Linked DNA regions of Arabidopsis thaliana. The protein of the gene in region 1 purifies or fractionates together with the protein of each later gene. This does not show direct contact. Each region holds a gene or a part of one and is shown in the gene's direction. Other genes may lie near its edges.

The links. Proteins that work in one complex are often made in the same cells at the same time.
Region 2: the proteins of CYCD3;3 (region 1) and AT5G40460 purify together in Arabidopsis thaliana (affinity purification with mass spectrometry, with the first as the bait; one large-scale study listed by BioGRID). This does not show direct contact.

What each region holds. Positions count from the first base shown.
Region 1 is NC_003074.8:18,562,702-18,570,347, reverse strand, and holds CYCD3;3 (CYCLIN D3;3), read left to right. Parts: upstream 1-3,513; 5' UTR 3,514-3,678; coding exon 3,679-4,149; intron 4,150-4,227; coding exon 4,228-4,429; intron 4,430-4,515; coding exon 4,516-4,646; intron 4,647-4,744; coding exon 4,745-5,026; 3' UTR 5,027-5,214; downstream 5,215-7,646.
Region 2 is NC_003076.8:16,199,080-16,206,327, forward strand, and holds AT5G40460 (cyclin-dependent kinase inhibitor SMR3-like protein), read left to right. Parts: upstream 1-3,062; 5' UTR 3,063-3,385; coding exon 3,386-3,724; 3' UTR 3,725-4,279; downstream 4,280-7,248.

The sequences.
Region 1 (7,646 bases):
AAAGAGACTGAAAAATACTCGCCACTATACATTTGATCAAAAATATAATATTTTAGTGAACAAAATTACGAAACGCAAATTTGTTTTATTGTTTGTTATCTTTACATGTAAAATGCAAAATTAATTAGATAATGCAAATTATGTTGTGTTCTGAAAATGTAAAATGCAAAAATATTATCTTACACATTTTGGAATGTATAAACATTACTCTATCTTTTATTTTATGTAAAGAAATTGTGAACATGTGAGTGGTAAGCAGTTTTCTAACACAATTGCAAATTGACATGATTGGTATTTAATCTATTACGGAATTCATGTGCAATTTTACCATTTCACAAGATAGTAAGTTACTATTTACTACTACCTACTATTATTATATTCCAATTGGTTACACACAAAAAAAAAGACACTACACCAAATAAATCAACTTTTCCATTTAGACTAAACCGATTTTTTTTTTTTCAAATCATATTTAACCGATCTAATTCGATTTCTAAACCATATATATAAATAAACAATATGCTAACACAATTTCATGAAAACATACTATATTGACTTGCACCAAACAAAAATCACTTAATGAACAAGAAGTGAATGTATTAGAGCATCTATAAAAGTAAGAAAAGTTTCTAAAAAAAAAAAAAAAAAAATTTTAGTCAAAACAGATATATTAATTGTTATTTAATACTTGAACTAATAATACGATGACAGCTGTCCAATTTAGATGAGAATAGTTTTTCAAAGTTTTTCCTACGAGGAACTCAATTCTCCTTCTCTTTTACTTTTTCTTTCTTCTCTCTTACTTTTTTTTTTTCTAATTTTTTTTTTTTGTTGGGTATCTCATTGAGATACTCCCAATAAAGATGCTCTTAGTTTTACTTTTATTGTACAGGAGTATGAACTTTCAACTATATATGAACCTATGAAAGTATGAAGTAAGACCGTATGAACAAGACTAAGTTACCATGTTATGTCCTTTGACCCAGTATGAACTAAGTTATTCACTGTATGGACTATATTAGGTGCCACTCCATATAGTCTTACATGTTATGAACAGGTAGACCAAAAACTCATGGGACTTCTTATGTATTTTAAAAAAAGGAAAATGCACAAAACACTATAAGGGGAATAGGAGCAAAGCTAGGCAATACATTTAACAGCAAATGGGTGACACCTAACATCAAATAAGTTTATTATAAATGAAATATTATGTGTACACTTATATCTTATAGTATTAGTGGTAGAATTAAAGAAACAAGAGGTTAGAGTAGGAGATCGAAAGTTAGCGTACGGCGTTGGTCTCTGGCAGACAAGACGCCATTATTAATTATGACCCAAAAACCTTCTTCGATCTAATCAATTCACAACACAACACTTACACACACATCCTCTTATTAATCTAATCAACTTCATCTTGGTTTTTATTATTTGTCATTTAAACAACAATACCCTCTCACTTCTTATCTTCTAGCTTCTTGACCCATTAAATAAAAGGTTACCGTCCGGATTCTTGGACCATTATTATAAATAACTCTTGTCTCCTCTAGATTACAACCTTTATTTCATTATCTCTAATTATACTCCTTTCCTTTTACTCTCTTTTTGTTATATAAAAACTTGTTCCAAAATTTAAGAGTAAAACAATTGAAAGTTTAAGTTCTATAATATATATATATATACATGTTTAATATAAGAAGTTTTTATATAATTTTATATTACTATTGTATTAATGGTAAAAACTGAAAAATGGTATCGTAACAATGTATAAAATCGCAAAATTACCAATCTAATGGAACATATTGTAGACCTATTTGGCCATTACACATCAACAAAAAAAACATAATAGAACAAATGGAATATTTTTTAAAAAGACTATGAACAGACAACATTTTAAAGCGATATGATAAGGAATTTCTTTGTTTTTCTTTTTTATCTTTTTAAAAGATAGTATGAAATGTGTAAGAAATGAGAAGTCGCTATTAAACTTTGTACAAATCTCAGACTCTCCCGCTTGTTACCAATGGCCTCTTCCTCTCGTGATTAACTTTTCCCCATTCCTTATTTATTTGTCTTTTGCTTTTTCATTTTTTCAATTTTTTTTTACCACACATTGCTTTCTTTCACAATCGATAAAGATCATCAATATATATACTATGTGTTAAAAAAAAGTAACAATTGTTGCTTTGTTAACCGCGTCTAGGTCGATAGGAACGCAGTAAACGTGACAACAGGATCATTCACTCTGCTTATAATAACACTTTTACTACTATAGATGTAAAATATGAAATTATCTTTCAGTTTACTATTGAGTACTAAATATTTAAACAGAAGCTTAATTTATTATACATTATGTTTTGTACTACTAACTATAATGTTTGTTCCACAACTATTATAAATAGACTCAGTTATATGTATAAGTTGCATTTATGTATCTTGAACGTTAAAGTTTGGTACAACTTTTGTTACGAGTACATCGAATACATTTACATTTTAATCGGCTTTTTTGGGTCCTCAGTCTTTAGATTTTTTAGCATATAAAGCAGTGAGAATTAAACTTGAAATGCTCATCAAGATCAAGCTATTATATTTAAAAATTAACTTTATAGGTTACATAAAGAAAAATTAAGTAACGTAGTTTACTAATAAAGCGCAAGCGTTTTAACAGAACGAGGTCCTTTTTTCCTAGTTAATTATGTTTTTGTTTTTTCTAATGTTTATGTCAGCTCGTTGACCATATAAAGCTTCCCATTCGTCCACGTGGATTTTCCTCTGACATATATGACCCCACGGGTGATTTTATATGATTATATATATCAATTTGAATCTTCTTTTTCCGTATATCATAAATTAATTCACCAAAAAAAAAAGTGAAAAATTTGCTACTAATAAATTACGATTAATAAATCTTTAAATCGAATAAAAACACAATGACAGTGACTCTACACATTACGATATTTTCAGAGTTTATGTAAAATTATGTTGTATTAACCAAAATCAAAGTACTAATGACGAAAAAAAAAAAAAAAAAAAAATCTTTTCACTTGTAATCATCGATGCTTGAAACCGAAAGGTGACAAATATAATTAATGGTCAACGCATTTATCCACCACTGAAACTTCCACCACCACCTCATAAGCGCGTGAATCACACGCTCTAACAGAGAGTATCTTTACTCGCATCCAACGAACAGGGATCAAAAGCGTGTAACTACACATTCAATAAGCACGTGAGTATAAGCTTTTTTGTAAATAGTACGTATGTTTTTAAAACTAAAGATTTTAATTAATTCATAGTTATGATTTCAATTTATAATTAATTTATGGAGATAGGAAATTAATTACAAAAGAAAAGATTTTTCCATTTCTGTGAATAAAACAAAGAAGAAGTACGGTTTCATTAATTTTCTCGCGCGCCAAACATCCGAATATTAAAAGACAAAATAAAAGCAGAGAGAGAAAATAAAAATAAAATTAAAAAAAAAACATAAAATCTTTTAATAAAAAAAAAGAAAAAAAAAAGAGGACAAGCGTGAAATAAAACCCTTCACTTTCTTTGGCATTTGTCTTCACTTCTTTTATCTCTCTTTCTATCTCACACAGAGTGAAGAATCCAGAGAGTCTCTAATGGCAGAATGAACAAAGGAATTAGCAATCATCTTCTTCTCGGAAGAGAAAAATCATGGCTTTAGAAGAGGAGGAAGAGAGTCAAAACGCACCGTTTTGTGTTCTTGATGGTCTTTTCTGTGAGGAAGAGAGTGAGTTTCACGAACAAGTAGATTTGTGCGACGAGAGTGTTGAAAAGTTTCCTTTTTTAAATCTGGGTTTGTCTGATCATGATATGTTGTGGGATGATGATGAGTTATCAACTTTGATTTCGAAACAAGAACCGTGTCTTTATGACGAAATCTTAGATGATGAGTTTCTGGTTTTGTGTCGTGAAAAGGCTCTTGATTGGATTTTTAAAGTGAAATCTCATTATGGGTTTAATTCATTGACGGCTCTTTTAGCTGTTAATTACTTCGATAGGTTTATTACAAGCAGGAAGTTTCAGACAGATAAGCCATGGATGTCTCAGCTTACTGCTTTGGCTTGTCTGTCTTTAGCTGCTAAGGTTGAAGAGATCCGTGTTCCTTTTCTCTTAGATTTTCAAGTAAGTTTCTCACTTTTTCTCAGATTCAATTTTGTGAAATTGCAGATTTTTGAGACTTGTGTTTGGTCTTTTTGTAAGGTGGAAGAAGCAAGATATGTCTTTGAAGCTAAGACTATACAGAGAATGGAGCTTCTTGTTCTGTCTACTCTTGACTGGAGGATGCATCCTGTGACTCCAATCTCGTTTTTCGATCACATTATTCGACGATACAGCTTTAAATCTCATCATCAATTGGAGTTCTTGAGTAGATGTGAATCTTTATTACTCTCCATTATTCCTGGTAATGTTTACCATTAGGTTTAGATCTCTTGAATCTACTTGATTTTGTTGTGGATGCTAAATTTTCTGTTCTTGGTTTCTTTTCAGATTCGAGATTTCTGAGTTTTAGTCCTTCTGTGTTAGCCACTGCAATAATGGTCTCTGTTATTAGAGATTTGAAGATGTGTGACGAAGCTGTATACCAATCTCAGCTCATGACTCTACTCAAAGTTGATTCGGTATGTGGTTACGGTGTCTTTGATCAATAAATGCCAATGTGATTAGTGTAAGGTTTAAGGATCTAGAACTGATTTTATCATCATTATACTTGAAACAGGAGAAGGTAAATAAATGCTATGAGTTAGTGTTAGACCACAGTCCAAGCAAGAAAAGGATGATGAATTGGATGCAACAACCCGCTAGTCCGATCGGTGTGTTTGATGCGTCATTCAGTTCTGATAGCTCGAATGAGTCGTGGGTTGTGTCTGCTTCTGCTTCAGTGTCGTCTTCACCATCTTCAGAGCCTTTGCTCAAGAGGAGAAGAGTGCAAGAGCAGCAGATGAGGCTATCTTCAATAAACCGAATGTTTTTCGATGTGCTTAGTAGTAGTCCTCGCTAATAATGTCAACAACCCATCAAAATGTGTCGGTTTAGTTACCTAAAATCTGTTTCCATGTTTTACATATTATCGGCTATATGGTTCTCGGTTCTTGTGTTTATGGACGGTTGCAAATGGTGTACGTTTCGTTATTTGATATTCTAAAAACAAAGTTCTTTTACATTAAAAGTTTCCGCTGGATCTTACCTTTTTCATGGCTTGATGATGATCTAATTTCGTCTCACAACCTCTGCATTTTGCAAGTAGAAAGATAACAGTCAAAGATTATACACAAACATTACCATTACACTATTGGCATTGGTCTAAAACATCACATACATGATTGTTTAGTACTTAGTACAGGTATGTGGAAATTTGTCCTTTGAAGTTTGAATTGAAGAGACAACGATTGAGTTAGTTGGATGACCAATAGTGTTGGACAACTAGAGAGTTTGTTAGCTACTCCTCCAAAGTTTTAAGTTTTATTTTTAAAAAATGTTCTAATAAATTTTGTTCTATTTTTGGGAGGTTTGATTTGAGAGGAAATGCAGAGAGACCAACACTTGGGTTGGTCCAAGTACTTGTGTTCAATTCAGTTGTGGTGAAAAGCAAAACAGGTTGGGATATACACATAACATTACGTACACATATCACTTTATCTACTTCTTGCCATTGCTATGTCATGTCATAACATTAAATAAATATACCTTCCATGAAGAGTCTTGTTATCACACAGGACCAAATAGCATTGAAGAGATTCAACAGAAAAAAGATATAAAGAAAATAAAATTAGATTGTTTTGGTTGAACTTGAGTGAATGTACCAAAACCAAACCACTCATAAACTTTTGTTCTGTCATCTCAGAGATCTTGTGTGAAACTCACATTAATACTTTCAAGAAAAAAATAGAACAAAAAGAAAACAGAAATTATGAATTCTAAAGACATAAATCATAAATGTTGAAGAGTCAATCGTTCCCCTAAGGCAAACATATGCAAATGGAGTTTACCAGTGTATCATTAAGACCTAATTAAGATTATTAGACCATGTACATAGGTGATATTTTTTAAGTATCACAAGTGCAAAAATTATTTTTATATTGACAAAACAATTGGAATGAGGTTGATGAGTATCAGTCCAGTGATATTTGTGATACTAGTATCATCTGACGTGCCATCTTCTGATTGCTCAGATTTACCAAAAACAAAAAAAATATATATATATATCTATTAAACAAACATTATAAATAATACTAAACATTTTTTAGTGATACTTTATGAGTATCACCTATAATCATGCTCTTAGTCGCTTCAGAACGATATTTTTTAGGATACTCTAATATAACAATTTTACAAATTTGTTCATTAGTTCATGTAACAAGTCAGAGGTTTCACACCAAAGTTTTCATCATCATTTCTGATTGTGATGAGTCCATTGAAAATCCAACATTTGATATTTTCCAATATTCATTACTAGACACATATGAGACGACTAAACAAACAGAGTCTTACAGTAGAAAATCTCAAAGTCTCAAAATTTTTGAAAAGTCAAATCATCGTTGACGTATTAGATCCTAAATCTTCAATCAAGCATGTAAACATTAACTAAGTATCATATGAAGTTCCATAATGTTTGAAATAAAATAGCACTCAGAATCTCAAAATGATGATAAGCTTAAGTTGGATCAACTTAAACTGACCCCAAAAAAACAACAATTCGCTATTCGCAGTTTTGTAGCTAGAATTTCTGAAAACATACATCACCATAATGCATAAGAAACAACAATGAAAATAAGTAACTATAAGCGTTGGTTTCTTGAGAATTGAAGATGGCATCACTAGATGATGACGTATTTACTATTTGTTGAGCCGTTTTGGGCCAAAGTTAACAAATGAAGATTGATACGGCCCATTTAGTATAAATTTTTACTGATGTCTGACGGGTTTAGAAGCACACGTGCATGCAAGTAGTATACACGTGGGTGTTTCACATGAAAGATCCTACTTCCTACATGTGTTGTTGACAGTACGGACAAGTCTTTTAGTTGGCGAATAAGCGGCTAAAAATTTTCAAAGTGAAGCCGTTTAATGCAGGTCGTCGGTCAAAAGTGAAAGGATGATGGATACTTTTGTCATTTCATGTATCTTCTATGTATTTGCCTTTCAATCTACTGAACTTTGTCAAAAGAATTTTGTGGTTTTTTATTTGCTACGTAAAGTTTAGATATTAACAAAAGAATCAACAAACTATGAAAAATAACAAAAAGATGAGACATTTAGTCATGTATAACTCTTTTTTTTTTTTCATATTTAACTTGCACATTATTATGATGTATGATGTCATAACAAAACAAAATTTGTACTTTAGTAACCACAAATAAATATATGTATTATGTTAAAAATCATTGTAAAATAAGAAATACATTCATACAACCATAAGTTTTTTTTTTAAGATCATAGTTCTTTAAGAGATTTTAAAAAGAAGAAATCACATTTTTAACCTTCAAAGTGTCATTGGTACACCTCGAATTTCTTTTACTAACATTTATAAACCATCAAAGTAATTTTACTAATTCTTTAAACCTCCAAACTAGTTTTTTTGTTTGCACCACTATAAAAAATGACGAAGTAATTAATTTTGT
Region 2 (7,248 bases), on another chromosome or scaffold:
CTAAACACTGAATGAAAATGTATGCAAATTGATAAAAAAAAGGAGGCTCCTATCAAACCGACCAAACCGAAAATAATTGTCCTTACGTCGCCGTCCAGAACAATATTATCGAAGATAAATCCAATTTTGCTTTTGCGCCCAATATTAAATTTAAGGTAATGATAACAATTCGGATTGGGTTCATAAAAGCAAGTTATAATATACAATGAAATATACTTTTGGTGTGATGTATCTTACCTTTTCGTATGAACTGATTGCGTGAACGATTGCATCACTTATTTAGCCTAATAATTTTTCTAAAAGAGAATGATCCGATCCAGATTGGTTTAGATATGATCAAAATTGCAAGGAGGTTCGTTAGAAGTTCACCAGAACTGTTATTTACTTGCAAGGAGGTGGCCCGAGCGTTACAAACGCGATATAAAGATTAATCAATATGGATAAGAGTGACTATAAGCTCATACTCTTAGAATAACTTTGAAAATGTGTCGCATGATAATCGTTTGACTAGGTTTACGTTTTCTTTATACACTATTTTTGAATAATTATTCATTTAAATGCATTTCATGTATAATATTCTCTTTGTTTATTTTTGTTTGACTGTTTAGGAAAAACACACATATTAAGGTAAGCATATTAAAGTTGATTTTAAATGTATTATTTTGTGTGTTTTACAATTTCATATAACTTTAAACCAATGATATTCAATCATTTTTATTAAAGTTAACACTTCATCAAAAATAACAAATAAATGTTGCATAAAAAACCTTAAAAAATCAATTTCTTAAAACAAATTTATTTCCTAGAAAATCAAATAAAAAGGAACAGAGAGAATAGTAATTTATAGATGACTAATTGATAAATAATTTTTCATACAATGTAAATAAAGAAATAGTATAAAACATGTTAAATATTTATATAGATATATTTTCTAAACATTCATGTATCACGGAACGAAAATTGGTCGAGAGTAAGATACACAAGTCAAGATAAAGATGTGAAGTGTAAAATTTTCACATGAAGAAGAAGGGATTGTTGTCCAGTTTGCCATTTTTTGGATTTTTTTCTAAAAATGATAATTTTACTAAACTTTTACAATTTTGCCATTTTTAACATTTAAGATATACGTATTTACGATTTTTTTTTTAAACACGTATTTTATACCAAATACTAAACCAAAAAAAAACCCGACTAATTTTATCATAATGGGTAAAACACAAGTTAAATCACTTTTTTATACCTGAAAAATGATAAAATTTTAAAAACTATTTAAAGATGGCAAAATCTATAAATGCCATAAGAAGAATAGCAAAATTCGTAATTAATTCGAAAAACAATCGAAACCTTACAAATCATCGTAATTAAACACATGTTAGAGTCATTTTTGTATTAAAAGAAACCCTCATATATCAGAACAACCGAATTGGATACAAGATTACATGATAAATGATCGAGAATTGGCGAGTTATGTATAAGATATGTCAAAGGTCTTGCTGGACATTCGGGTTCGATGGCAATTTGAACACTTTCGATAAGTAACTAATAGAATTGGCCAAAGAGGTCTTATAAGGCTGGTTGACTAAGAGGGTCCCATGCATTTCTTTCACACTAAAATAGATAAGGGTCGGCTCTTTTGTAGGTCCAATATAATATGCGTTACTTTCAATTTCAAATTTTAGTTAAAAAACATTTCAAATTGTTCTTCTTCATATTTTACATTAATTTTCATAACGTTTTGAATGCGAATAAATCTAATGCTTATGTGACACAATGTCAGCCCTAGCTAGTCCCGACCTTCCTCAACTTGTCTCTATCACCATTCATGTCTCTCAAAGGTCCATTCATCCTATCGCCTAATAATTGAATATTGATTACTTTTATTACATAAAGAAATATAGAATATAATATATCAAAGTTAACTATAAAATTGTAAATTGTAAAATGTAAACCTTAACTAAAAGATGTATTTGATTACATCATCTTTTTTTTGTCTAAAAGAAATTGGGATGGACCTTTTATCTATTTGTATCTCTTCGTCTCATGGTCCGGAATAATAACTAAAATTTACCTAAAATTTCAAATTTCTTGGTATCATAAAATAACTACAATGCAACATTGACTTATACTTCATATCGCACGTATCGGATTTAAGATTTCTAGGGTTCCAATCTTCATGTTCGACTCTAGAACCAGAGGGAGAGCAATCCATCATGCTGATAATCACCCGCCAATCTCTCTTATCCTTATCTTTCTAATGACTAGAATTAGCTGCATATATATTGTTTGTTTGATATTGACATTGTATTTGTACACATAATGGCTTCTATGTATATATAAGTGCATGCATGAATCCGTGATGATGGCACACCTTAATTACGAACATAACTTTAAACTGTATTAATGATCGATTAGTTATAGATATATAATATATTGTTGTTTGCCTCCATGGTTAGCTAGTTTTTGACATGGCTTGATATGCTACTGATGTTTTCTAACGTTGCTGTTTATTGAATTGTATATATCATATAGTTTAATAATGTTGATGAATAAGCCGTGAGTGATATAAATTCCAAACTCATTTTCCACAAGATTCACACTAGATTTTGTTTTCGGCAGATTCCATGATTGTTGATAATCTTATCAACCAAAATTAGAGAGAAGGCAGATGAATATTTAAAGTGATGGGGAAAATTCAGTGTGTCAAAACCGACGTCGTTTTGATGACCAACAAACTGACGAACTGAAGTTAAACCGAGTTAATTTCAGTTTGAACCTAAACCCAGAGAAAACCATAAAAAAATGTAAATTAACGATAACCGATTAGAACCAAAGAGGGTAAATAAACCAAACCGATGTTCTCTTCTTCGGTTCTTCTCTTACCTAAAGAAAGAAACCTCGCGGGAAAGTAAACTGGGGGCAAAATCGGGAATCACTAAAAGGATATAAAGGCGGGAAAAAGAGCCGTTGCGAACCAAAACTCTCAAACTATGGCGCCAAACAAAAGACGGTGGTTGCGACTCTGCCCGTAAAATTTCTCGGGCACCTAAATTTTTATTCTTTTTAAATTTCCAATTTTATCCCTTTTTTTCTTCATCTTCTTCGCAAAGCTTTTTTCTCCTGAATATTATTTTGACTATTTAAACCCTCTCTTTATCTCAATTTCCTCTCATTTGTTTTTTCTCATTCTTCTCAACAACAAAAAAAATTCTTCCTTTCAGACCAAAAAATTTGACCAACCACAAATTTTTAATCTTTTTCCCCACTTTCATTTTATTCCGATTCCTCTTCTTCTAATTGGAACAAGTCTCTGTTTTTATCTCTCTGTTTTCTTTTTGGGTTTACTCTGTTTTTTCATTTATCTTGGTTTTGAGTTAGTTAAAGAGAGATGGGTTTTTCGAAGAAATCTCAATTCGAAGGAGGTTTAGAATCCGACGGGAAGAAATGGGTTATCGCCGGAATTTCGATTCGGGCTTCGTTGAAACCAGTCAAGACGAAACTCAGAGCGCCGCCGGAGATAGTGACCGAAGTTGAAGAAGATTGCTACAACGAAGAGGAAGAGTGTTCGACGACACCGACAGCGAAGGAAACGAAGATACCGGAGTTATTGGAATGTCCACCAGCACCGAGAAAACGACGGCCGGCGTTAAAATGTCGGAGTAACGTCGTTAGAGAGTTTTTTACGCCTCCTTCTGATTTAGAGACGGTGTTTCTACGTCGCCGTTAGTGAGATTTGAGTTTTTTTTAATATAGTTCTCTAGTTATATATTAGTTACAGGCCATGAAAACTTTGGTTATTAGACTTAGAGTTAAAAATATATGATAATGAATCTAATTATGATAATGCGTATCTTCCAAATTAGCCTTGTTCATCACATTTGGTTTCATTAATATTTTGGTTATACATATATCAACAAATAATCAGTCCAGATTTTATAAAAACACTAATTTGATGTAGAAAATTTTATACTCAGAGCCTTGGATTAAGCCTACGGAGACTAAAGGAGAAGTGACGCGAGCAAATCTTACCAGTTAGCTCAACTACCTAAATATAATAATAAAATTACCAATAATTTGTGACAAGTCCACACGGCAAGCTTTTGACTCTCCACTATACTCGTTTTTTTTGGGCAAATCCACTATACACGTTTATAGGTTTTTTTTTTGTTGTTGGTAAAACTCGTTTATAGGTTAATAACTTAAACTATGTATTTGCATAATTATTGTTTCCTTTATCTAATGTTCTAGATGTGGGCCAATATAGTTTTTATTAACAAATAATATGGTGGGATCTAATACAAAAATCTTTAATTTCAAATAAAAAGAGGTAAATCATACTATTTGGAAAGAGAAGAAATCAACAATTTTATAATGCACACATGTAATGTTTTTTATATGCTTTAAAAGGATTCTGAAGAATTTCAATGCATGACTTTTTTTTAAGGAGGCCTCTACTTCTAAAGCCATCCCAACAAATATGATACTTTCTTTTTTCAGGTTAAAGAGCTTTTTGCGTGCACAATTGCACACTCACTAAGTCATTAGTATCTTTAATTCATTGACCACTACTTTGTATTGTAACAAATTAATTAAATAAACTCATAAGACATTATGATTAGTAATTACTCATGCTACGCACCAATAGTACTATTTGCAGATTAAATGTGTTGCATGCAAGTAAGTCACTAATTCTCAGTTGTGTTCTTGTGGATTGAGTCATGAAAAGGACAAAATAGGGTTCAGAGAATAGCGGTGCGATGGGAGAATCCAATGTGGGACTTAAGGCCTTGTTTGGTTCCTTTACGAGACAACGACCAATCTCGTGTTTTTTTCCTCTTTTTTTTGAAATGCCAAATACAAGAGAAATATTTGAATAGAAGGAGACTATGACGATTGACGAGTTTGGATCATTCTTGTGAACGAGTTTATTTCACTGTCATGACTTTAGGAACTATAATACATTTCTTTTCAGGAAAAAATTATATTGCCTGCCGAATGTACTAGCAATTCAAAATGAGAATCCAAGTTTGAGGATTAGGTTCACCTTTCACAAGTCTGTAAATTTGTTCTAGTTAGCAATTCCAAAACAATAGCTTTTAGTGTCCCAACTGATGATAGCCGAATCTTCCATTTTAGGAGACTTTAAAAGATTAAATTCTAAGCTGAAAGTGCGGATGAAGTAATATAAATTGCAAGGAAGAAAAGACACAAGAATTTTGTTAACGAGATTCGGTTTTTCCTACTTTCCGGGAGAAGTTTAGATTCAATTTCAGTAGAATAATAAAACAAATTACAACAAATTTGCAAACGCGTAAAATAAGCACAAATCTCTTGATTTACCGCTCTCTTTTAAAACGTGAAACCTTAAAGATAATTTTTACTCTTAATTAAATTCCTTCAAAATCTAGATTTAATCAGGATAACACCTAACCCTGAACTAAACTATCCTTAAATCTAGACTTCAAAGCAAAACCACTTGATCACACAAGCACAAACCCGCAAAACTAAGTTGCACACAATCTTACAGAAAGTTCTCAAAGATTTCTTCTTTATATCTCAGCTCTCTTGCTTCTTCAAAACGTCTCCAGCTTCTCCGTATATATCCAAAACGATTTTTTAATCATTATAGGAAAAGATTTCCAAATTCCATAAGAAAAAATAAATTTTTATTTACATTTTCCTTTTTTCTCATTGAATTTCACGTTCATCAAGTCTTCCAAATCCTTCTAAGTCATTTTCCTCTTTTGATTCATCATCTAAACATATTCCAAAAATATATTTTCAAATTTTCTAGTAACCGACACTCACACAAAAACATTCGCATCCTGAATTACTTCTTAAATCATTTAGCAACTCCATCAAACAAAAATTTGTATACTATTAAACTCATTCAACGACTCCATCAACAACAAATGCATCTTCATAAGAATCTTTCAAAATGTGTAATTTCACTTTAAAATGCATGTTTTGATTATTCATTGGATCCGTACAGATATAAGGATAAACAAAGAATTTAGTACGTAGGAGTCGAAATGAATAACTTATTAATAGAGATATTATTGTTACTTCTTGACTAAAAGGATTTTTTTTAAAAGAAAATAATAATTTAAATGACGGATATCGTATTGAATTGATTTTTTATTAATTCATCTTTTTTGTTTCTTATTTCATCTTCCATCATTTAAGAAAACACAAACATTTTTCAGAACTAACGACTCAAGAATCAATAAGATCATGTTATATATCAGTGTCCAAATCTTATATAATAACACATACAATCAATTCCAAATTTATATAATATGTAAAAGATAATGATTGAACAAGATATTTAGAATCCAAGAAGTGACTGATTATTCTGATTATCCAAGAAGATAAGATAATTATTAATTTGTAAATTATAGTTTAAACGAATCCAAGAAGTGACACTAATTAAAGGTAAACAATAAATTTGCAAGGATCAAGATTACGTGACAATTTCACGATGCCTAAGTCAGTTTCTCAAAGGTAATGATGAACTCGAACTGGCCGTCTTCTAACTAGTTCATCTAATTAACTAGTATTTTAGATACTTTCGTATTGTCTATTGTGTGTGTGATAAGATGTGCATACATATTAATAGTTTTGGTTTTATCATTCTTTTGTACTGTCGAAGTTTTGGTTCTCTTTTATTTGGATAGAGACATACATTTGTGACTTGTTCTTTGTCTATATAGATATGATAGTAGCTATCTTCAACAATGCATGTGCTTCTCTAGGGGACCAATCGAATAAATTCTAGTTATCATATAAATAAAAAATTTCTCATAGACTCTATATGTGTAGACAAACTATGATTCCTAAATTGAATGAAAATAACCAATAATTATAGAAATACAAGTAATCGGAATCCTGATATTGGATAGTAGAATTGAGTTGGATGACGAAGAAATAAACTCTTAACTGACCGGATTCATTAGCGCATGTTGCGTTGCCACCTTCGCAAGAGTTTTGAGCAGTGAGTTCAACTCCATCTCACCATAAAAAGTCTAGTAGTTAACCAAAAAAAAAAAATCTTAACTGAAAAACCAAATAGACTTTAATTATTGAAAAAAGAGTTGAAAGCTAAAAATTAAACCATAATTACTAATTAGTCATCCAAAGAAGACAAGATGTACTTGGTCATGAATATATTATAAGAGGAAGTAATATTTAGAGCATGTCTATATGTGTCATGTCTGAACTTCGGTTTAGGTTTCTCCACTAAATATTTTA